Diceros bicornis minor: one gene and its partners. The main gene of each other region encodes a partner of the protein of the gene in region 3 in a complex. Links are inferred from orthologs where the notes say so. Each region holds a gene or a part of one and is shown on either strand. Other genes may lie near its edges. The genes, in order: GNAT1, GNAT3 and RHO.

Region 1 (8,085 bases), about 37 Mb from region 3:
GCGTGGGGTTGGGACGCCGCCTGGCGGCTGGGCCGGGAGTCTCACCGTTGTAGTCCGGGAAGCAGATGCTGAGGTGCGCCTTTTTTATCTTCTCGGAGAAAACGTCCTTCTTGTTGAGGAAGAGCACGATGGACGTGGTGGCGAAGTAGCGGTGGTTGCAGATGCTGTTGAACAGGTGCAGGCTCTCGTGCATGCGGTTCTGAGGAGGGCAGAGGCTGTCGGGCACGGGGGGACAAGGGCAGCCGTCCCCATGCGGCCGCTGCTGACGAGCCAACCGCTCCTCTCTGGGCTCTGGGACACCCGGGGCCTCTCCGCTCCGATAGCTCCAAGTCCCCCACGACCCCCCTCAGCGGAGCTGCTGGCTGCCTTCTCTCCTCCTTCACACAGCTCTGGAACGAATGTCCCCTCTCAGACGCTCCCGCACGCGCAGCACTGTCTCCCGCTTGCCCTCGGCCAGCAGCTCCGCCTCCCCCCTCAACACTCAGGCTCTGCTTGGCACTCACCACTTCGTCATCCTCCACTAGCACCATGTCGTAGGCGCTCAGCGCCGCGATGAAGATGATGCAGGTCACACCCTCGAAGCAGTGGATCCACTTCTTGCGCTCCGAGCGCTGCCCGCCCACATCGAACATCCTGCAGGGCCATTGGCGCCTGAACCCACGTATCGAGCCCCCTGGACGCACCTATAGGCATCCCCTCGCCTCCTAATGCAGGCTGGGGGGCACTCAGAGGGGACTGGCATCTGGAGGGCTGGGCCTTTCTGGAGGCAGGGTATCCGAGAAGGGGCAGAGTATCTTGTACGGCCCGGATGGGGCGTCCGGGACGGGACCGGGCCTCGGGGCGGTGAACTCGCCAGCAAGCCCCCGGAGTGAGAGCGAGGGCATGGGTCGTACCGGAAGTTGAGGTCTTTGAAGGAGAACTGCGTCTCAATGATGCCCGTGGTCTTGACACGCGAGCGCAGCACGTCCTGCTCAGTGGGCACATAGCCCGGGGTTACCAGGCGCTCCAGGTCCGAGAGGTAGCTGCGGGAGACCCCGGGGAGTGGGTGGGGTTGGGTGGAGGGGTGTGGCAGGGCCCTGCCCGCGCCCCCTCGCCCCGCTTGCGCACTCACTAGCCGGCGGAGTCGTTGAGCTGGTACTCCGAGGCGCGTTCGAAACAGGCCTGGATACCCGAGTCCTTCCACAGCCGCTGGATGATGTCTGACATCTCCTTGGGCATCGTGCCCTCCTCGATGGTGTCTGCCATGTGCATCAGCTTCCGGGCATCGTCCTGGGGGCAGGGCGTGAGTGGTTGGTGTTGCCCGTGGGCCCAACCCTGGGCCTCCAGTCCCCAAAGGCCCTGTTCAGCCCGCCTCCTGGCACACCTGGCGCGCAGAGTCTCCGTACTGGATGTTGAGCGTGGTCATGGCACGCACGATGGCCAGGATGGACTGCAGCGTGTTGCCGTAGATGATGGCAATGAACTCGAGGCACTCTTCCAGAGAGTACCCATCCTGGTGGATGATCCTGCGGGCGGGGCGAACCGGGTCAGCGCCTCGTGGGCAGGTGGGGAAGGACAGGCCCCGTGCGCGGGCCCACCCCCGGGGTCCTTGGGATGGGCAGGGGCACTCACTTCATCTGCTTGACAATAGTGCTCTTCCCGGACTCACCTGCACCTGGAAGGGAAGCCCCCGCCTCAGAGCCCCGCCGACCGTACCTCCCTCCCATCTCGCCTTCCCCCACTCCCCGCACCCCCCCTCCCCCTCCCCGCAGCGAAGCCCAGAAGATGGCTAGGCGGACCCAGGGCATTAGCCCAAGCCCCCAGTCCGGCCTGTTTTCCCCCTACCCGGGTCCTGACGCCCTGGCGGAAAAACGTTTGTAAATATCAGGAGGGACAGAAGGGGGCTGACGAGGGGCATCAGCGACCTCAATAGTGCTGGGGAGCTTCCAAGATCCTGGTATACGCAATCTTTATTTTTCTGAGACCAAAATAAAGAAAACCTGGAGCGCCACCTTGTGAAGAGTTCTGGTACCGCACGCACGAGATTATTTGAGCCGGGTCAACTCCTGCTTTTCCTGAGGTGGGAGGGGAGTGTCTCCAAGAGGCTCAAAGGGAATTGCGCCTTTGGGTGGGGGAGAGGACAGAACTGACAGCCTCTCTGAGCCTGCTCTCGCGAGGGCGTTGGGCACAGTTAATGGGATTTCTGGCTTAGCCTCTGTGTCCTCCCTGGGATACTCTGGCTTGGTCCCTCTGCCCACATCCAGCTGCCTGACTGGACACTGGAGAGCCTGGAGGGAGCCTGCACTGCCCTCTCAAAGCAGCTCCTTCTTCTCCTTGGGGGAAGGCAGTGGCTTCAAGGCACTGGGTCAGCCCCATCTCCCCTCACTACCTGTGGGACCAGGGACATGGCTTTATCTATTCCCCGCTGGGCATTAGTACCCCTCCACCCTGTTTAGCTGCTTTGCAGGTCTGCCAACAGTAAAGCTCTGGAAACTGAGGGTCATTGTCTGTGGATCTGGGCAGTCCTAGAGGCTACCCAATCCCAGGAGGACTGTGACCTTGTCCTTCCCAAGAGGAGCAGCCCTACTACGGGGCTACCAAGGAGATCCCTTGTTTCTGAGCCCTGCCCAGCAGGCCCATCAAGCAGAAGGCTGAAGCCTGAGGGAGCTCAGCCAGGGCACAAGTGTGCCTCATACACACACTGGTACAAAAATGTGGTTGGCACACACTCCTCCCGAGGGGAGGCTATCTGAGGGAGGGCCCTCTAGAGAGGGGTTCTGTGGGATACCCAGCCTTGGGGAACCAGGATATCGCCTATTGCCCTTGCTTGGCCAGGGCTCCCACTCTCTTCCCTGCCTTGTCACAGGCTCATTCTGCTTCCCAGAATGAGCCCTGCTTCACAGAAGGGCCACGTGCCTGCCCCCGGGCCTCTGACCTGGTGGCAATAGCCCCACTTGGGCCCACACCCCTACCCAGAAGCAGCAGTTTCACGGTTCGAGCATCCTTCTCAGCATCTTCTTTCAGCTTCTTTTCCAGCTCCCTTGAGTGCTTCTCCTCTGCGCTGGCCCCAGCCCCCATGGTCCCGGCAGCAGGTAAAAGAACAGGGTGGTCAGTTGGCTCTTCTGGATGGAGGAGATCCCCAGAGCCAGGCTCAGGCCAGCCTCTGGCCTCCACAGACACCCTTCTGGCCCCAGGACTGGCAATCAACTGGCTCTCCACAGACCTGTGCAGGCCCTGGTGGGGCTGCTTAGTAGGATTTGGGAGCTGGGGGTACCCAAGAGCCAATCAGAGACAAGGACAGGTGAATCCAGCTCAGCCCCCTGCCCTTCTAATCGGGCTGGCATGGCCCCAATCCCTCAACTGCTGACTCGGCACTCTCCTCTACCCTCTCCCACTAACACTCCAGGAAAGACCCTGGAGACAGTCCAGCCCCTGCCCCAGAGCAGGGAGACATGTTCAGTAGGATCCAAACTCTGAAAGGGGAGGATAGGGCCTCAAGCCCCAGGAGTGGGAGCAATAGGGGTGGGGCTGGCAGCGGGGAGTAGAGGGAGAAGCATGCACAGAGCACCTGGCCCCTGCCCAGCACTGGGCTCAGCGCTGCTTATCTTGTTGTAAGCGCACACTGGCCCTGGGGGGTGGGTGCCCCACCATCAGCTCCATTTTACTGTTAAGGAAGTGGAGGCTCAGAGAGTCATACACCAGGGGCTGGTTGAGAAGGGCTGGGTGACTCTGGACCAGAGCTCTGCAGGGAGTCAAGAGGGAAAGGTGGACCCTGCATTTGTCCCGTACCAAGGGCGGATCTGACCTGGGCAGGGCCTCTACATGCCTCCATGATTCCAACGGACTTGGGTGGGCGTGCATGTCTGCTGTGTGCCTGGGTGTGTGTGTCTATCCTTTCCTGGCACCAAGCAAGGCAATGACATGACACGTTTGTCACTGTATACTTGTGTGTACAACATGTGCCTGTGTGTTTGTTCTTTTGTGAGTGCATGTGTATGCACACGTGCGGGTGTGCTTTTGTGTATTTCTCTTCATGTGCACAGTGCTTGTATGCATATATTGCCGTTCTTGTGTGGATTAACGTGTGTGCATGAACACATATGTGCATGTTCATGTGCAATGCATGTTAGTACGCACTGGCCTGTTTGTTCCTGTGTGCGTGTACATTTATGCATGTGTATACCTGTATGTGTGCATACTTGCATGTGCCTGTGTGTACATGTGTACTCGAGTGCAACAAAGTCTCTGACCTGCAGAAGTGGCCAGGCTCCTCCAGAGAATTTTTTGCAGGCCTGTTGTCAGATAGGGAAACAGTCCCAGAGCAGGTCTGGTGCTCTCAGGGGCAGAGTAGTGGAGCTCATCTGCTCTGCTCCTGTTCTGTCCCTCATGGGTGCTTGGGACCTGCCTAGAGGTATCTCTAGTGCATGCCTGCTTCAGTATCAGGGGTCTGTGTGTGGGCTCGGATGGGACAGGGCGGGCTCCTGGGTGGAAGTGGTTCCATTGAGCCGTAGTGTTGAGTTCACAGGCTCTGGAGATTTCCCACCTCCCATCAGAAGACCCAAATCCTGGGCTCTCACGGCCTCCTGGCTGGACTCCCTCCTGGAAACCTGGCTGCCTTTTAGTACTCGACTCTGTTGCAGACACGAGAGACCATGAGGGGGTGCCAGGGCCCCAGATACTGAGAATTGAAGACTGTCCCTAAACATGTGGGAAGTGGATACTGGCTCCTGCTATGGGTTGGTGGCTTCATCATCTACCCTGTTGGGTGAGAGGGGATCTCTCCAGTAGCAACAGATCATTTGTGCCACTTTCAGCCTTCAGGTTCCATCCATCCTCCACCTCCCACATTGTAAGTGGGCTCTGGGGGTCTCTGCAGCCCCTTCTACATTCCCCAGGGTTTTGGGGTGATACAGGAGCCCAGGTTTGCTAAGCCACTGAAAACCTGGTTTCTATATATTGGGTTGATTTAAAGTAGTGGGGCTAATCCACTGCCCCCCAGTCTCCACCTGGCTCCCCTTACCTGCCAGATATGGCCCTAAGCCCTGATGGATCCATAACCTCCCCAGCTCTTAGCTCCCCCTGCCAGGGCTTGACTTGTGAATTTGGTTCAGGGCCCACAGCCCCACTTCCTTCTCTCCTGCAGCTCCCCACCTCTCCTCCTGGTCTTCCCCACCTCTGGACATTTGCTCATGCTGGGCATTCTGCTAAGAGCTGGCTGGAAGTAGGCAGGAAGAACGAGGATTTTGTCGACTCTCAGGGCAGAGGCAGCTGGACTGTGAGGGCTATGGCTTTGTCTTACCAGTTCTGAGTCCTTAGTGTCCAGCACAAAGCCAGACAGAAAGCCAGGTGAGAAAGCAACATTGACTAAATGATCAAACAATTGAATGAGCAAATGGAAGCTGGGCTTGCAAAACAGAGTGTGGGAATTGGTGGGCCATGTGGCCCACATGGTGGGGGGGGCAGGAGGGACAAAATCTGGGTGTGGGCTGAACCCCCATCCTCCCTCCTCTGCCAAGGAGAAAAGCCAAAGCCCAGTCCAAGAGCCATTGTTTATTAGCAAGATGGAACCCAAGGGCGGCTGTGGCCTAGAGAGCAGTGGGCCACCAGGAGCCCCCACTCACCTACCCAACTGCCCCCCAAAGCTATTTACACCTATCATCTGAAGTAGTGGGCAGAAGGGAGCCCTAGGGAGCCCCTGCAGGCCCCAAGCCTCCACTATGCCCCTCCCCCCCAGCCCTGCCTGCACCTGGCCTCTCTGCTATTCTCCCAGCCCCCAAGTCACAGTGGCCCAGAAAAAGCAAAGAGGAGGTAGAGTGGCCAGGCAGGGAGGAAGGAGGGGCTGGAGTTGCTGCACCACCCAAGCAGGGCTCTTCTGTCCCCAATAAATAGAGAATAAATACCCAGGAAGGGGCTGGCCTTGACTGAGTGCCCTGGTCCCAGGCAGGGGTGAGCATCCTGTGACGACCCCTTCTTCCCTTCTCTGAGTGCATCTGAGCCCCACCCCACTCCCAGTCTCCAAAGCAGTCCTTGCATCCACATCCATGCCAGTGCCACAGGTTGACAGCACACATTGACAAAGGTGTACAGTTCATGCCCTGTCCAGGTAGAGCTTGCTCCCTCCATGTCCTGTAGATCCCAGCAGTGGCTGTCGAGCAGGTAGACTCCTAGCTGAGTCTGGGGACTGTCTGGTCCTGGCCTGGCCCTGCCAACTGGTGGGGCCTGGTTAGTTGGGCTCTGTTTTCTGTGGTCTCTGACCAGCATGGGTTTAAGTTCTGGACGATGCTGCCACTGAAGCAGGCTATATACGACCCACCAATAAATACTGTCTTTGCAGGGGAAAGGTGTGTATAGAATATATATATATTTTATATATATATATATATATATATATATATATATATATATATATATGTATCTTTTATATTAAAAGGGACAAGGGCTAGGCTGGCCCATGGCAGGGCTCAGACAGCTGGCCTCATGTGTCCGGCGGGTGGTGGCGGCGGTTCCGGGGCTTTTTCTGGTCTTGCGGTTCAGGGGGCCTGGGTGCCCCTGGGGCATCCCTGGGGCTGGGGGGCACATGGCGCCAGTAGCCCTGGCAGTACTGGTGGATGAGGCCCACTTCTGGCTGGGCCAGCAGCTGGGCCAGCTCCTGGTAAGGGGGCGTGGGGACACCAGCGCCCTCAGGCGGTAGGGCGCTCGTGGCTGGCGGTGGGAAGAGGGCAGCATGGACAGCATCCCGGCCAAGTACATGTAGCTGCACCCGTGTGACGACGTGCTTGAAGTTGTTCTCAGTAGCTGTGCAGGAGTAGAGTCCGCGGTCCCCAAGCTGCAGGGCACGAAGCAGCAAGCCCTGCTCTGTGCGCAGGAAGCGGTCCTCTGCACGGATCTGCAGGGGCAGGGGGTGGGGGCTCAGGGGCTGTGTTACCATCCTGCTGCCCCAGCCAGCTCCCAGATCAGACCACTTTGTGGCCAATCCACATAGGGGCACCCATGTGGAATTTCCATATACCAAGAAAAACCTACATGAAGTTTCCACATAATATCTGAATAAGGCATCCATACACATTTCCATTTCGGAAGGGGTGACCATAAGGGGATTCTGTACAATGAGAGAATTTTGGAGCATACACACAGAAATTTCTATTTTATGAGAATACTCAATTGGGGAACCCTCACAAAGTTTCACGTAAAGAGGAATGCCTGGAAAGCATTTCCATAAAATGAGGGCTACCCCACAGAATGTCCATATACTGGAACTCACCCACGACGTTTCCATACAATGAGGTGTACTTCCAATGGAGTACACATATGGAATTTTCATGCAAAGAGGCATGCCCATAAATGGTTTCCATATAACATGGAAACTACAGCGTTTCCATATAACTAGATTCACTCAAATGATTTCCATGTAGGGACGGGAGCTTGGAAGGGCTTTCTTAGAATAAGGGCTGCCCTAGACTGGCCTCTATACCACATTTCACCCATGTGGAATTTCTACTGTACAAGGGACTCCTGCATCCACGGTGAGGACTGTGGGGCACAGGAAATCACCTCACGGCGCCGGTCACTGGGCTCTCGCTGGAACAGCCACTTAACAGCGGCCTGGGGCGAGCGGGGCTGGCACTCAAGGAAGGCCGCGCTGCCCGCCACGCCGTACTGCACAGACTCCATGGCATTCCTGTTGGCTGTAGAACAAGAAAAGCAGCATTGCCTCTGGGCAGACTGCAGCCTGACAAGGGGCAGGCGCTGAGGGGCACATACAGGACACCCACTCATATAGGCAGGGCCGAGCCATCGGGCATCCACTTCTTGAGGGGGTAGCTAGGGACATCCCACTGCAAAACATTAAGCCTCCTCATCCCCGCAGACCATGGGAGAATCCTTCCAGTGGGGGCCCTGGGAGCAGCTTGGTGGGCCACCCGGGGCTCTGCACTGAGGCACAGCACACTCACCGTTGGAGTTGAACCCACGGCACTGCCTGATGGGGTTCCCATGCCGGACGTCCTGACGGCGGCTCCGCCTGGATAAGGAAAGCTCCTGAAGGAGTATTCCCAAGGGAGCTTGCCCCCAGGTTCCTGTACCCCCAAGACTCCAGGGTAGGATGTC
Region 2 (7,119 bases), on a different chromosome or scaffold from region 3:
AAGAGAACACCAATGACTAACCATCCATGACAGCGCTGGAAATCACCAGCCAAAGCTGGTTACAATACCATCACTAAGAACGTGGAGTGAGTGGCAGAGTTTCAAATATGAAGAAAACACAAAGCTTAGCTTTTCCCTATACTTCCTATCAAGCTTTGAATCGCAAACCAGCTTATGTGGTGGAAATTTGTAAAAGTACAAAAGAAAGTAATGTGGTAAAATAAATAAATTCAAACTGAAATTTGAAATAACAAATATAAAAAGACGAGACAGGAAAAATGGAGACATGATCCATAGTGATTCCATAATTAAATGGCAGGTATTTCTTTTGAGTAGAATTAAAGTTTAATCAAACATTAATAATTTAAGAACTAAAAAAACTAACAAGAATTCTGCAAAAGAGAACATCTTATCCATTAGAATTTGTTTTTCTTGTTAAAATGTACTCTTTCCGGGACATCTTTATGAGCTATTTTTTTTAAAGCACGTGACATTACTGTCTTGATAGCTGTTATCAAATGTGCCAGGAGCACATGAGTCATCTCCAGTGTTTCCTAGAAGCCTGCTTTTTGCTAAAGAAAAAGATAGGGCATCTCTTCTGTAATTTTACTGAATGTCTGAAAGGCATAGTAAAGAAGGAATATGTCTGCAAGGTGATCTTTGCTTTGCAAAGTCACACTTTGATAGCTCTTCAGAGTCAGTGAAATCTTGTGTCCAATGACACAAAATGGTACACCTACTTACAGTACATGTTAAATTTGGAAAGTTGTGCTATGTGTATAAGCACCTGGAAATTCATCAGATAATAAGAGGATCAGCATAAAGAATGAATTCTGCCAAAAATGTTTGTTGCTTTCTAATTTTTATAAAAATAGAGTTAGACTCAGGATCTGATCATTACATGACATACGCTCATTGATAAGTTAAAAACTCTTGTTCAGACTACACTGAGGAATGAAAATCACTGTTTCAATGATGGGAGAAATTAAAAAGATTTCATTAGTGAGGGGATTTGAGGGTGGGAGGGTGGGAAGGTTTAGTTTAGTTCCACTGAACGCTTTTATGTCTTAATGAGGCCAATTTGAATATAAAAATTACAGTTTAGAAATTTGAGTTCAATTCAAAAATAAGAATCAAAGCAGAGTTGTTACAAGACTTTGTTGTTTTAAACTTGACAACTGAATCATCATACAAAGAACTCAAATAGAGTCCAGGAGGGAAAACTTAGTCCAGTGTTTGGAACACAATTGAAATAGGAAAATCATAAGAGAATTTGATTTATTTTGTATAAATAAGATGTGACTGAGAAGTTCAGTGCACATATTGTTGGAACCAAATACATCCAAGCATACGGTATGGTAACTTTGGAACTGAATTTATGTAATTGTGATTGTCTTGGGAAAGTAAAAGATGTTATAACACCACTAATGAGTCTTTTGTATCTCTGGTTCGAAAAGCTACCCTTTCTTCTTGATCAAACCCACTTTAATCTAAAAATAGTTGGTATGTTGAAAATATCTCTATTCTTTTGAAATTTTATTGAAACATGAGGATTTTTATGTATTTTATCACTATTCCTATACAAAGAGGGACACAGAATGCATTTGTAGGAATGCTCGGCTGTCCCTCTCACCTTTTATTTGCATTTTCTATGTTCACATTAATTTCACTCTTGATCAAAGCCTCAAAGAATACTCTGGAGTGTTAGGGAAAGTGTATTTACTGGTTTCATAAGAGCTGGCTGCTTTGTAAGTTACCGACCTCTATCTAGGTGGTTACTTGCCAGTGCTGTGGGCAAGTGTGCAGCCACAGAGCTCGTGCACAAAGGGAGAGAACATTTCCTTTCCTTTGACGATCAGGTGCTGGGAATCCCACAGCTGGTTTCTGAGACACTCTTGCCACTGGGAGCAAATTAGACACAACAAAGGGGCACTTAAAAAAGTGAAGACATTTTGTTGAGTGCAAGATTCACAATTCTGAAATAAAATGAAGTCCTTTTGTGTATAATTAAGAGCAGGAGGAACACACAGCTATGATTAAAGTTTTTGTTTTATATTCTTTTCATAGGTTTTTATTCTTATTTCAAAACTATATTTATCTTCCAGTGACCACTACATGTTAAATTTTTTATGTTTAGGAAAATGTGTGATATACAGATTATTTTCTATCTTTCAATTCATTGAACATTTATTGAATTTATAGTTGTGGTAAAACATTGTGCTGAGTTTTGAGGGAATGAAAAGATAAAAGAGACATAATTCTTGACCTGAATGAATATATAAATATCCTAAAAGGATTTAAATGGAGTATTTTTCAAGTATGCAGACAAGATCACAGGCAGAATAGTATTTCAGAAGCCTGAATAATATTGTTAATATAAAAGTTAAAGTATCGTATCATTACTCTCTAAATAACTTGAGACCCATTAATTTTAACAGCGCAAGTAATTAAGTAACATATTAACTTTGATATCAAACAGCTTGACATATTTCTGTTTGAACAAAATAACATAAATCTTTATAACTTGAAATTAACGGATTGTTTTCAGTATTAAAAAGCTACATTCAGGAAATGATTAAGGTGCAATAAAATAATAAATGTATCTGACTTTTCTTTTAATAATAGTAACTTGTATTATTGACAGAGAAATTGTATCATCTAATAAATATCTGTCTCTCTGCTTAACAAAAGAACATGTAATAAAACACTAAACAAAAAAAATCAGTAAATATTTATAGAGCACACAAAAAGTCTATTTAAATTTCCAAACACATTTTTATAATAAATCTCTCATATGGTAATACACTTGAAATTAAAGTTTGAGAAAAGTAAATACATCACAATTGACAAAAACAACAGGGTTTTGAAAGTAAAGGGAAAAAAATATTACCTAATAACAGCAACTTGACAGTTCTTGCATCTCGCTCAGCATCTTCCTGAAGCTTTTTCTCCAGTTCTTTTGATCTCTTGGCTGACTCCTTGCTCTCTGAACTAATTCCGCTTCCCATCTTGTGTTAGATACTCGTCAGTTTATCTGCTCAAACTTTGTCAAACATAGAGCACGGCTCTGGTTTGGACGTAGGATGCAAGAACAGTGCTCTGCTGAAGTACCCAACAGCCTGCTCCCTCCCTCTCTAAGATTCTGCTTTGACTAAGGAGATGCTTTCTAAGCTGTCACCTGATCAAAGGGTAAACCATATAACCCTATGGTTGTATGGTTGGAAGCTAAAGAGGGAATTCATTATGCTTTCAAATTAGATGGCCACTTCTGGCACATCTTCAAAAATTTGCTCATTTTCCTTAAAGAATAGCATACAATAAGGTAGAACGTCATCACAATCTACACATTAAAGATACTCTGCAATGAGCAGTTCAAATGGAATGTTTCTCACTAGTAGACAAGCTCTGTTACTGTGATTTAAAGTTATTACTAATCAACAAGCTTGCATCTTCAGATATGTGAGTTTGCAAATTCTTCATAATCACTCTAATGTCACTATCAGAATATCTACAATGAATCGTTTATAGTCATCTACAATGACTATAAATTTATAGTCATGCTATGCTTAGATTATGACTCAAAATTGTCAAGAATCTCCTGTCAGTTAACTAGAAAACATCTTTTTTAAAAAATGGAAACACATAAATGTAGTTCTTACATATATACATGTGGTATCGCCACAAACATAGGATTCAACACACAAGGCTCTTAAATTATTGATTTTAGTCTCATAAAATCCATCTCTATAAATTAAGCTTTTACTGCTTGTGAGAATGTTAGTCCATCAACATTAATTGAGGGCCCACTTGGTGTAGACACTGAGCTGTGTTCACTTTAGACAGTGCGTTAACTCTTTGGGGCCATTAAGCAACAGCTGCTGTGCTGGAAGGACTTTTATTGATTTGGTACCAAGAGAATAAAAAGCAATGTTCTTTGAAATGGTAGGTAATTTGGTGCTTCCTGAAAAGTAAGAACTAACTATGTTTCATGCCTTTCAACTGCCTCAATAAATATCATGTACTTCTTGAAGATCTACAAGCTTGCGGACAGAGATTATGAAGTACAAGATTTTGTTTACAGGAAGCATAAAACACTTTTTAGGTAGTCAATGAATATTTTCCTTATAAACAGAGTTGGCTACCTGTGGCAGCAGGCAAATCTTTCAATGTGCATTTTGGGATTTGTGAATGTGCCTATCCAGGAAATGCTAGAATGCAGTCAGTCCTTCAACACGTCAGTGCTGATCTTCTTGTGGGATCATGTGCAAAGTCTGAACAGGTGGGTTTTTGCATATTCATACAACAAGGAAATAGGCTGCCAAATTAAATACATATTCCTGCTTTGTTTACTTTTTCACATAAAATATGAGGCTGTAGATATGTAAGCATAGTCAAAACTTTCTGGATTTCATCCCTCCAAAGCCATATTATGATAGTATAAAGATGTGGAAAAGTAGATATGCAAGGCTTCATGCAAATCATGTGGTATTGCTTTTGCAATGCAAAGGCCCTGTCCCAAAGGAACATGATTTGTGCTGTCTAATTTATTTTTACTCATCCCAAAACACAGAGTCTGCTCTGATAACAACGCAAAAGAACACAAACATTAAAATAAATCTCTTTTTGCCTATGGTTTTTATATCAAAATTGAATATACATAGATAGTACCCTGAATATACAAGATTCTTGTACGTCCCAAAGCAATTATGAACTGACAAGATACTTCGTATAATTTGCATTTAAGTAAATATACCCATATCTTTCTGGCAGGGGCATACCTTGGATTTGAAAGAGCGTGTGTTTTCCAAGACTTCCTAAGTGGATTACTGACTAAAACTGACCAACTCTTTCAGGAGTAGAAGTGTACATTTTCTGCACTGCATAAAATTACGAACTTCCGCTTTTCTGTGTAACCCAGAACATTCAGTCATCAACTTTATTAGACTATTATGTGATTTTTTCATCAGTGACTAAAATCATCTTGACATAAAATTCAAGGTGTGTCTATATGTAGGGAGGCAGGCTGGGGAGAGCCAGAGAGAAGGGAAAGGCTCCCTTCTCTGCCCTCTCCCCTGGGTGCCTGGGATACAGCGTCACTAATGAGCTGTGGTTGTTAATACAGCTATTAGTCCATGTTGCTTCACTTAGGATTATAGCTTTCTGGACCTGAGAAAATGATGAAAATGAAATAATAAATTTCACTAGAATGGGGGCAATGTCTTATTCGCTTGGATGTCTTCCACATATTTGTCTCAGTGCTGGCCATAGGAAATGTTCAAAAATTATTTCTTGCTAATAAATTGGTAGACACCTGGAGTCTTTTTCTTCCTTGTGCTCTGCTGAGGTGACATGATAGTTAAGGTTTGTTTCTAAGGTTCAGTGTCATAGCGGGTCTATCTCACCACCCTAGAAATTTTAGAGTGACTCAGAAATTCAATGAAAAAGCCCAATTTTAGTCTGAAATAGTGTCAATATATACAATTACAACTGTTAGCCCACATTTATGCTTTTTTTTCCTCAGTCTTAAAAATAACACAGCACACTCCCTTTCTATTGCTAAACCTTGCTCCATAGTGAGGGAAAATTGATAGAAGATGACAACAGGAAAGGTAACTAAATTAGGTGCTTTTAATTCAGGGAAAAATGTGGCCATAAATTTTGTGTGTTCTTGAAAACAAGAAACATAAAGCTATCCAAGGCACTGTCAGTGTTAGAGTTCTATAGTTGGCCAGCTAAGAGAGATAGATTGCTCTGCACACACACACACAACGCAAGAGACAGTGTGTTGGAGTAATTGGTCTTTTAGAATAATCACTTAGAACAACTTCTAAGAACCTTGTTGCCTGTTTCTTTTTCTGTCACAGCATCAGCCTGATTGGGAACATCTTCTTTCAGCACCAGAAGGAAAATTGACTTGAGTTAAAACACAGAGAGTGAGCCCTCAGCTGTAAAGGTCACTGAAATGCCACAAGATGGCATGATGTGAATAATTTTTCCTTTTGCTACTTTTGGTCAGGGTCTCTGTGGAATCTTCAGAAGAGGACATTAGCCTTTAAAAAGTTTGAGGAACCACATTTTACATTTATAATTCAACATCTAGCTTGAGATGACATAGGATTATTTCCCATCTGCTGTTAATATTGAGATTTCAACCCGTGTTTTGGAGATGTCTCTTTTGCCAGTATTACCTGGGCTTTTGCAGTCGTCAAGCTGGATTTCCCGTGAGAATGTGACATGTGGCTGACTTCAATAAGTGGCTTCAGTGGTTCAGCTCCTTCTTGAAGTTGTCAACACAGGCTGTTAATTGTGTTAGTCTTTTTTTTCTTCCCCCCCGTATCTTATAGGAGGTGTTGACTTCAAGCATTGGGTCCCTGGGTGGTTTGAGTCCTGGCTGCCTTGGCAATAACTTTTATCCTTGCATATTCCCATGAAGTTTGAGGCAAATCATCCCTCCTTTCCTAATGGTACTCAAATATGCGCTTGTGGGAGCTCTGCGGGTGGTGTTTCCCTCAGAGATTCATGTCTTTGGTGACTTCTGAGACCGGTCTTCTGATCTTGAGGGAATACGGCAGACATTGCTGTTTCAAGTTAGTACAGTCGGATGGTGCAATAAGTGTACAATGCCAGCATTAAACAGCGATTATGTCTTAAGAGGTAATACAAATAGGCATTTTTATTCATTGGAGTTGATTTCTGCCTTTACTTATTCTACATACATTTTTATGGATTAGGATATGATTATATATAATGGTTATTGGAAATAAAAAATGTTACATGCCTAAATGACAAAGAAGATGAGTCATAATTATTTCCCAAAAGGCTTCTCCCTGCCCCAAATCCCATCTTCTTTAGAATATTTTTTATATGTCTCATTAACACAACATTTCCACTACTTACTCCCTTAACTTTATTCCTCAGTCACTTCAGTCCTGATTATTGCAACCACCTCCTCCTTAGGTCTCCTGATTCTGGCCTCTGCCCTATTCCACTCTAACTCGTCTGACGGAGCCAGGTTAAATTTCCTCAAACCCAACTTTCATTATTATATTTTTCTTGTTGCAAAAATAAAGAACTCCTTATTGATTACTGCCTCCTGTCTTAGTCTTGCCGCCATACACC
Region 3 (6,910 bases):
GGTCCACGCCTGGGATCTGAACCTGCAAACCCTGGACTGCCAAAGCGGAGTGCGTGAACTTAGCCACTATGCCACCAGGCCGGGCCCTGTCCTCCCATCTGTCATCTCAGACTCATTTGGAGACAATGGCCTGGAGGCTGGACAGGACCCAGTTCCCAGGGGCTACAATGTTACCACCTGTTCTAGGAAGGCTCGGCCTCCTAGAGGCCCAAGGTCAGAGGGAGCTGCCTATGGGGCACTGGACCAAAGAGGATTGGAATCTGGCCCTGGCTTAGTTGAGGATTAGGGGCAAGGCCAAGGTGAAGGGTTGGGGCATCTTCGATTCTTCTGGCGTGGGGACTCAGGAGGTGGGACCAGCCCTGTTGGCAACATTAGGGTCTGATCCTCTATTCCCCTGCCCTGAACTCCTCCCCTGGGAGAGTTGCCAGGTGGGCATTTGGGGCAGGGGGCATGTGAGCTCAGTGCCTGGAACCAGACAGCTCTGAGTTTGAGTCCTGGCTGGGAGACCCTACGAAGACCCCCGGGGACCCTTCTCTTCTGCTCAGTGCCATTACCTGGACCAGCCAACGAGGGGGGGCGCTGCGCACGCCAGTGCCATGACCCAGGTGAAGGCGACGCCCATGATGGCATGGTTCTCCCCGAAGCGGAAGTTGCTCATGGGCTTACACACCACCACATACCGCTCGATGGCCAGGACCACCAAGGACCACAGGGCAATTTCACCTGCAAGGCAATCAGCTGCCGGTCAATATGCCTCCTGCCTGGACCCCACTGTCATCTAAGGAGGGAACGCTCCTCCTAGATGGGGGAGGGTGGCGGAGAAGGCAACCTGGGGCAGGCCTGGAGCGAGGACTTGGGATGGAGGGGGCTTGGATGCCGAGAAGAGGAGGGACGGGAGTGCGGGGCAGAGGGGCCAGCATGCCGAGGGGGATGAGCAGAGTAACTCCCAGGAAGTTTCGTTCAGTTAGAGCTCTGGGTCACGAGGGACACGGAGGTCAGACGACAGGGACGTGGTCGCACTGGGAGCCCCATAGGGCATTTGTACAGAGGCCTGTATCCTCCACGGGGTGTCGGGCAGAGTTCTCGCTGAAGGCAGGGCAGAGGCAGCAGAAACCCGAAGTCAGAAGTTCTCCCTCCCTCTCCAGCGGCGGCCTCTGCCCTCTAGGGTAATGAGACAACCTGGGCACGTGGACCCTCTCCTAGATCCAGGAAGCTGGACAATGTTTTGCTCAGAGGAAGAAGGAGGAAATAGTAATGGAATTCAGACATTTGCCCTGCATATCACCCCAGAAACTCAAGGGGGAGGGTGGCCATAGACTTTATCAACCAAACTGGGACATTTCTGAGAGGGAACGGGAACACTACAAGAATTTTCCAGGATTAAAGCTGTACACTGGGACTGCCACTGCAGAGAAGGTTCTGCCTGTATGTGGTACTCCTGCCTAACGCCTGCCCTCGGGCCTGAGACCGGGGGACCTGTGGTCATTGAAGGTGACAGACACCAGTGATGGCCAAAGATTCCCTGGGAATGGGGCAGAGGAAGCGTCCTGGACACGAGGGGAGAGAGAAGACGAGGAGGCAGAGCAGTCCTCGTGGCCGCTGCTGGGCTCTCCCAGTCTCCCCAGCTTTGTAATAACGACATCTTGCGTCTCCTGCTTGCCTGAGAGGCTACGTGTCCAGCAGGACATTCCTGGGTGTCTCCTGAGCCAGGACATCTAGGCTCTGCTCCCTGCCCTGCCACACCCCTAGATGAGTCTTTTCCCTCCTCCATGCCCCAGTTGTCTCATCTGCTAAATGGGATCTATTATCTCTGCAGCACCCCCATTCATTTTCCAGTCAAAGAAAATATTTGAAAGCATCTTTCAAAGCTACGGATCACCACACAGATCTAATGCCTCCCTTGGAAGGGGTTTCTTCGAAGGGGATGAGCTCCTCAACACAAAAAGCATTCAAGCATGGCATAGAAGCTGGAGGTGGGCTGGGAAGGGAGTCAGACAGATCCTGGCGGGAGGGACTGAGCCATCAACTGACAGCCCGGGCAAAGTCCAGTGACCGGAGGACTGAGAGTCTGCGTCCCACCCCGGCTGGGAGCCTGGGCACAGGGTTCTGTCTCATCCAGCTTTCTCCCCGGTGCCTGGCGGGGGTCCGATCTAGCACAGCTGCTCCCAGGGAAACAGAACACCGCCTGAGGGGCCACAGAGATGTGGGCTGGAAACTCAGCTCTGCCCCTCACCACAGTGTGACCCCAGCAAGGTCCTTGACTTCTCTCAACCTGCTTCCCTGCCGTAAAACAAGACAAGGGCACCACTCAGAGTGAGATAGTGTTCAATGCCCGCCCTGAACAAACGGCAGGGTGTTCACTGATTGAGGAAGTGAGGGCTTTGGATGCTGCTGACGACTGCAGAGGGGAGAATGCCTCTCAGCCACATCTCCAGAACCCTCCACGCCCTCTGGCTCCTGTGCCCCTGCCCACCCACATCCCGGCTCATACCGCCCAGGGTGGCAAAGAAGCCCTCCAGATTGCATCCCGTGGGCCCGAAGACGAAGTATCCATGCAGAGAGGTATAGAGGGTGGTGGTGAAGCCGCCAAAGACCATGAAGAGGTCGGCCACAGCCAGGTTGAGCAGGATGTAGTTGAGAGGCGTGCGCAGCTTTTTGTGCTGGACCGTGACGTAGAGCGTGAGGAAGTTGATGGGGAAGCCAAGCACGATCAGCAGAAACATGTAGGCGGCCAGCATGGAGAACTGCCACGGCTCGGCCAGGTAGTACTGCGGGTACTCGAAGGGGCTGCGCACCACGCCCGTCTTGTTGGAGAAGGGCACGTAGAAGTTCGGGCCCTCCGTCCCGTTCATGGCTGCGGCCCTTGTGGCTGCCCCGTGGGCGGCTCCGACCCAAGAATGCTGCTGAGGCCTGAGCTCGGCCACCCAGGGCTCCGGCTGGACAACTCTGGGCTCTGACCCTCCCCCCCAGGCCCTTATAAAGTGACCTCCCCTCCCTAAGCTCCTGGCTGAATCAGCACCTGGGAGATTGGGGGCGTTATTAATCATATTAATCCACACTGCTGCAACTGGGGGCCTAATTGGCCTCCAAGAGGGGCCAAGGTGACTCTAGACTTCAAGCCTGAGAAGGTGAAGTTGGAGCTACCCCATCTGTAGCAGGAGTGTGATGACACCGCCCAGGGACGCAGGGGCTGCTGGGAGCGCCCGGCATGCAGGCGCTTGATGACCACCGTCCAGCCACAAATGTGTAGCGAGCAGGTTCCACACAAGGTAGAAGCCTAGGGTCATGGAGGGGAGGCGTTGGGGACCCTGGGAAAGGGCAGGAGGCTGGCCCCCAACTCTTTTGTCCTCCTGGAATCTCTGCCCAACTCAGCCTGGGGGCCTTAGCCTGGCATCACAACCTCCGACTCCAGGCCCAATTCCCTCTGGCTGAGCGCGAGCTGATTTCTTCCTCCCGACTGGACCAGGAGCTCCCGGAGGGCAGAGGCCTTGATTATTCTCTCAGTCTCTCCTCCCCTCACTCACCCCCTTACCTATTCCTTCCCCACCTAAGTCTCCTCCTGGATCATCCAGGCACTGAACACTGACACTAGCCCTCTCACCAGATTATGAGCTTCACATAAGGGCAGGGGCCGCATCCTGCCAGCTACGGCATTCCCTGTGCCAGGCATACAGCTTGGCATAGCCCAGGAGCTCAATTAGCATTTACTGCGTTGAATAGGAAGTCACTAGTTCATCAAACATTTATGTGCAGGCCCCTGGGGATACAAAGATCAAGAAAGGAGGATCTTAGGCTGAGGAGGACTGCCATGTGGGAAGAACAGATCCCAGCCCTGGGAGGGGAGGCTGCCTGCCTGGGAGAGGCATCAGGGGAGGCGACGTCTGGGTCTTTGAGGGAGGGGAGCACTTTGCCAGGTTGCCAAGTAGGGAAGACAGTGCAGACTGAAGACAGAGGCTGGGCACAGGCCTGAGACCCATCTGTGGTATGGCCACACATGGGCTGTGGTCAGCTCTGATGGGTCTTGCTGCCAAGCTGAGAAACCTGGCTTCATCCAGAGGGCAGTGGGCAATGCCTTGGGCAGATCTCGGGGACAGAATGGTGGCTCAAATGCCCCCGAAGATGGATGGGAGTGAGGATGGAGGAGAGGCCCCGGGAGGAGTGACTAAAGCAGGGAGAAGACGAGGCTCTCAGGGCTCCGAAGCAAGGCTCTGCAGCCAGAGGCGTACTGTGTGCCACACCGGTGCTGGGCACTGGCTCACTGCAGTGAGCCAGCCTCCTGGGGACTCAGCGTGAGGGGAGGTGGACCCTGGAAACAGGACTGGTTGGACGCTGCTGCACTTGGGGCACATCTGGGGACACCTGGTCAGGCTGGGCTGGAACACAGGGCCTTGGATGCTGTGTGACAGGTAACCCCATGAGGGTGGGTCCCAGGACAGTGGGACGAGCTCTGGGGGCAAATGGAGGCTCGACACTGACTGGCTCCCCCATCTGTAGCATGATGACACCGCCCAGGGATGCAGGGGTGGCTGGAAGCACCCGGCATGCAGGCGCTTGATGACCACCGTCCAGCCACAAATGTGTATCAAGCAGGTTCCACACAAGGTGCTTGGTTCTGGGGCACACAGTGGACAAGAATGACCAAGCCCTGCTGGCAGGACGTGTCATTCTGTGGGGGCGAGAGCCCCACAAACAAGTAATGAAACAAGTAACGATAGGAAAAGTTCAGATCATGACCCACTCCCAAGACACTGTTATCTAGAGCAGCCAGGGAAGGCCTCTCTGAGAAGGTGAAGTTTGAGCCGAGAACTCAATGATAGAAGGAGCCAGCCCTGCCAGGATCTAGGGGCTGGAGATATCCAAGCAGAGAGAACAGCAAGTGCAAAGGCCCTGAGGCTGGGAATACAAGGCTGGACAGGGAGGTGTCCCTGTCTCCGAGACTTCCATCCTTTAAGCTCTCTTTCACCCAGTCTCTCTTCTCCTCAGGTTCCTAGATCTATCTGCTTCAGAAAGGTGCCCTTCTGGGCCAGCCCCGTGGCTTAGCGGTTAAGTGCGTGCGCTCCGCTGCTGGCGGCCCGGGTTCACATCCCGGTCGCGCACCAACGCACCACTTCTCCGGCCATGCTGAGGCCGCGTCCCACATACAGCAACTAGAAGGATGTGCAGCTATGACATACAACTATCTACTGGGGCTTTGGGGGAAAAAATAAATAAATAAAATTATAAAAAAAAAAAAAAAAAAAAGGTGCCCTCCTTCCCTCCAGCCCACCTGGGGCTCCACACCCCTCTGTCCTGGGTGGTGTCAAGGTTTGGCGCACGGAGGGTGGATGAAATGTGTGTTGATGGAATGAGCACAGAGCGTGGCCTGGCAGGGCTGGTGGGGTGTGACCTCTCGCAGTTTAAGGCGCTTAGCCTCGTGATTAGGCCCAACACTAATGAGGTCAAGGTGGAGGCTTTGATTCTGCCACGGCCCCTGGTAGCCAGATGGACAGGGGAGCACTGGATTCCCTGAGTCAAGACTGGCCCACGCACAGCCCCGCCCTGGCCAGGCTGAGCCCTCGTCCTCAGCACCTTGCTTGTCACCTCCTAATGCTTATGACAGCCTGGAAGCTTGTATTCATGTTCTGTTCATGTGGTTTTTGTCCATCTCCAGGCTGTGACGGGAGCCCACAAGGGTGGGCTGGCTCTGTCTCGTTCACACAGGGTCCCCAGAGCCCAGCACGTGCTCTGGCATGTGCAGGATGTGGCAGGAACACTGTAAGTTTTTTCCCTGTCGTAGGAAGCGCTGGCATTTCTGTCGGTTTGTTCACTGACGCAGCCCAGTGCCTAGCGCTTAGGAGGCACTCAATGAATATTTGCAGCCCGAGTTACTGGGTCTAGGTTATCTCAGGAAGTACTTCCCTTCTCTACGTCTCAGGTTCCTCCTCTGTAAGAGAGTTCAATAATCTCACCCTCACAGGGCGAGGTGATGGGGAGTTAAAGACCATCACCGAGGTGACGGTGCTTTGTATTCTGTAAGGCATGACAAACCATTTGCTTTTAGAACAAAAAGTGCTCTTTGTTCAGAGCAACAGGCTCACGGAGTGAGCTGGAAGGTCATTAGAAGTCACCTACTCTGACCCTCCCCACTGCATTTTGCAAGTGGGGACATTGAGGCCCAGAGTCTGTAGTGAGTTGCCCAGTTCATGTGACAAACAAGTGACGGCCAGGCTATAACCTGCCTGGTGACGCCTCCCTCCCACACCATAGACGGCTCTCAGGAATAATCTGCAGGTCATTCACACCATGGTATAAATGACGAAAAAAGGGTTGTGCTGGGGTGGTGGAAAGGGTGGAAAGGGCCCTCGACTGAGTCACACAGGCCTGGGGCAGCAGCAGTGGCCCTGAGGGCAGGGGGCAGCACAGGCTCTAGCCTGTGGCTCTGAGTCACCCTGAGAGCCCAGGAAGCCCCTCGTCCCCTCTCCGGGTCTCAGTTTGTTGGGACTAGGAAACTTTGGGGATCCACACCCATCTACAGGGTAAACCTGACCTGCTATCCCCACCAGGGCCCAGCTCACGGAACTTCGGACCTTACAATTTAGGTTTCTGGTCCTCCCTCATTGGGCACGGCCCCTTCATAGCTACCCTTACATCCCGACTGAGGCTCTGCGGCCACACAGCCTGGTGCAACCTGGCCCCTCCCTTCCTCGTGCCTGTTTCCTGCTCTGTTCCTAGAAGGTGACCAGTGAGTGCGGCTAAAAGTGTTACCCTCTTCTGCATCTTGTTCAGGGCTCAGCAAATAACTCATGTCCTTGGAGAGCCCCCCATCCCCGCCTCTACACACCAGGGCCCCCACCCACAGTGTTCATTTTCTACTCTGTATTTATCACTATCTGCAGTGGTCTTATTTGTCTCCTTAATGACAGACTGCCAT

What was found.
Region 1: the proteins of RHO (region 3) and GNAT1 are in contact, whole or in part, in a cryo-EM structure (PDB 6OYA), measured with the Bos taurus proteins. The link is inferred for Diceros bicornis minor from reciprocal best matches to the Homo sapiens genes RHO and GNAT1. Residues at the interface, in NP_001014890.1 of Bos taurus: Leu72, Arg135, Val138, Val139, Lys141, Ser144, Asn145, Phe146, Arg147, Val230, Ala233, Gln236, Gln237, Ser240, Thr242, Thr243, Lys245, Ala246, Glu249, Val250, Met253, Met257, Asn310, Lys311, Gln312; in NP_851365.1 of Bos taurus: Ala27, Arg28, Asp189, Leu190, Val312, Glu314, Tyr316, Asp333, Ala334, Asp337, Ile340, Lys341, Asn343, Leu344, Lys345, Asp346, Cys347, Gly348, Leu349, Phe350.
Region 2: the proteins of RHO (region 3) and GNAT3 are in contact, whole or in part, in a crystal structure (PDB 4A4M), measured with the Bos taurus proteins. The link is inferred for Diceros bicornis minor from reciprocal best matches to the Homo sapiens genes RHO and GNAT3. Residues at the interface, in NP_001014890.1 of Bos taurus: Leu72, Arg135, Val138, Val139, Lys141, Thr229, Val230, Ala233, Thr242, Thr243, Lys245, Ala246, Glu249, Val250, Asn310, Lys311, Gln312; in NP_001103452.1 of Bos taurus: Ile344, Asn347, Leu348, Lys349, Asp350, Cys351, Gly352, Leu353, Phe354.

Annotation. Positions count from the first base shown.
Region 1 is NC_080741.1:51,241,094-51,249,178, reverse strand, and holds the start of GNAT1 (guanine nucleotide-binding protein G(t) subunit alpha-1), read right to left. Parts: upstream 3,100-8,085; 5' UTR 3,058-3,099; coding exon 2,952-3,057; intron 1,655-2,951; coding exon 1,612-1,654; intron 1,506-1,611; coding exon 1,364-1,505; intron 1,270-1,363; coding exon 1,112-1,269; intron 1,023-1,111; coding exon 894-1,022; intron 634-893; coding exon 504-633; intron 200-503; coding exon 46-199; intron 1-45. Other genes in the region: SEMA3F (semaphorin-3F), read right to left, coding at 6,455-6,865, 7,531-7,664, 7,932-7,999. UniProt on the Homo sapiens protein: Functions as a signal transducer for the rod photoreceptor RHO. Required for normal RHO-mediated light perception by the retina.
Region 2 is NC_080742.1:18,075,421-18,082,539, forward strand, and holds the start of GNAT3 (guanine nucleotide-binding protein G(t) subunit alpha-3), read right to left. Parts: upstream 3,009-7,119; coding exon 2,891-3,008; intron 1-2,890. UniProt on the Homo sapiens protein: Guanine nucleotide-binding protein (G protein) alpha subunit playing a prominent role in bitter and sweet taste transduction as well as in umami (monosodium glutamate, monopotassium glutamate, and inosine monophosphate) taste transduction.
Region 3 is NC_080741.1:87,791,603-87,798,512, forward strand, and holds the start of RHO (rhodopsin), read right to left. Parts: upstream 3,048-6,910; coding exon 2,492-3,047; intron 724-2,491; coding exon 555-723; intron 1-554. UniProt on the Homo sapiens protein: Photoreceptor required for image-forming vision at low light intensity. Required for photoreceptor cell viability after birth.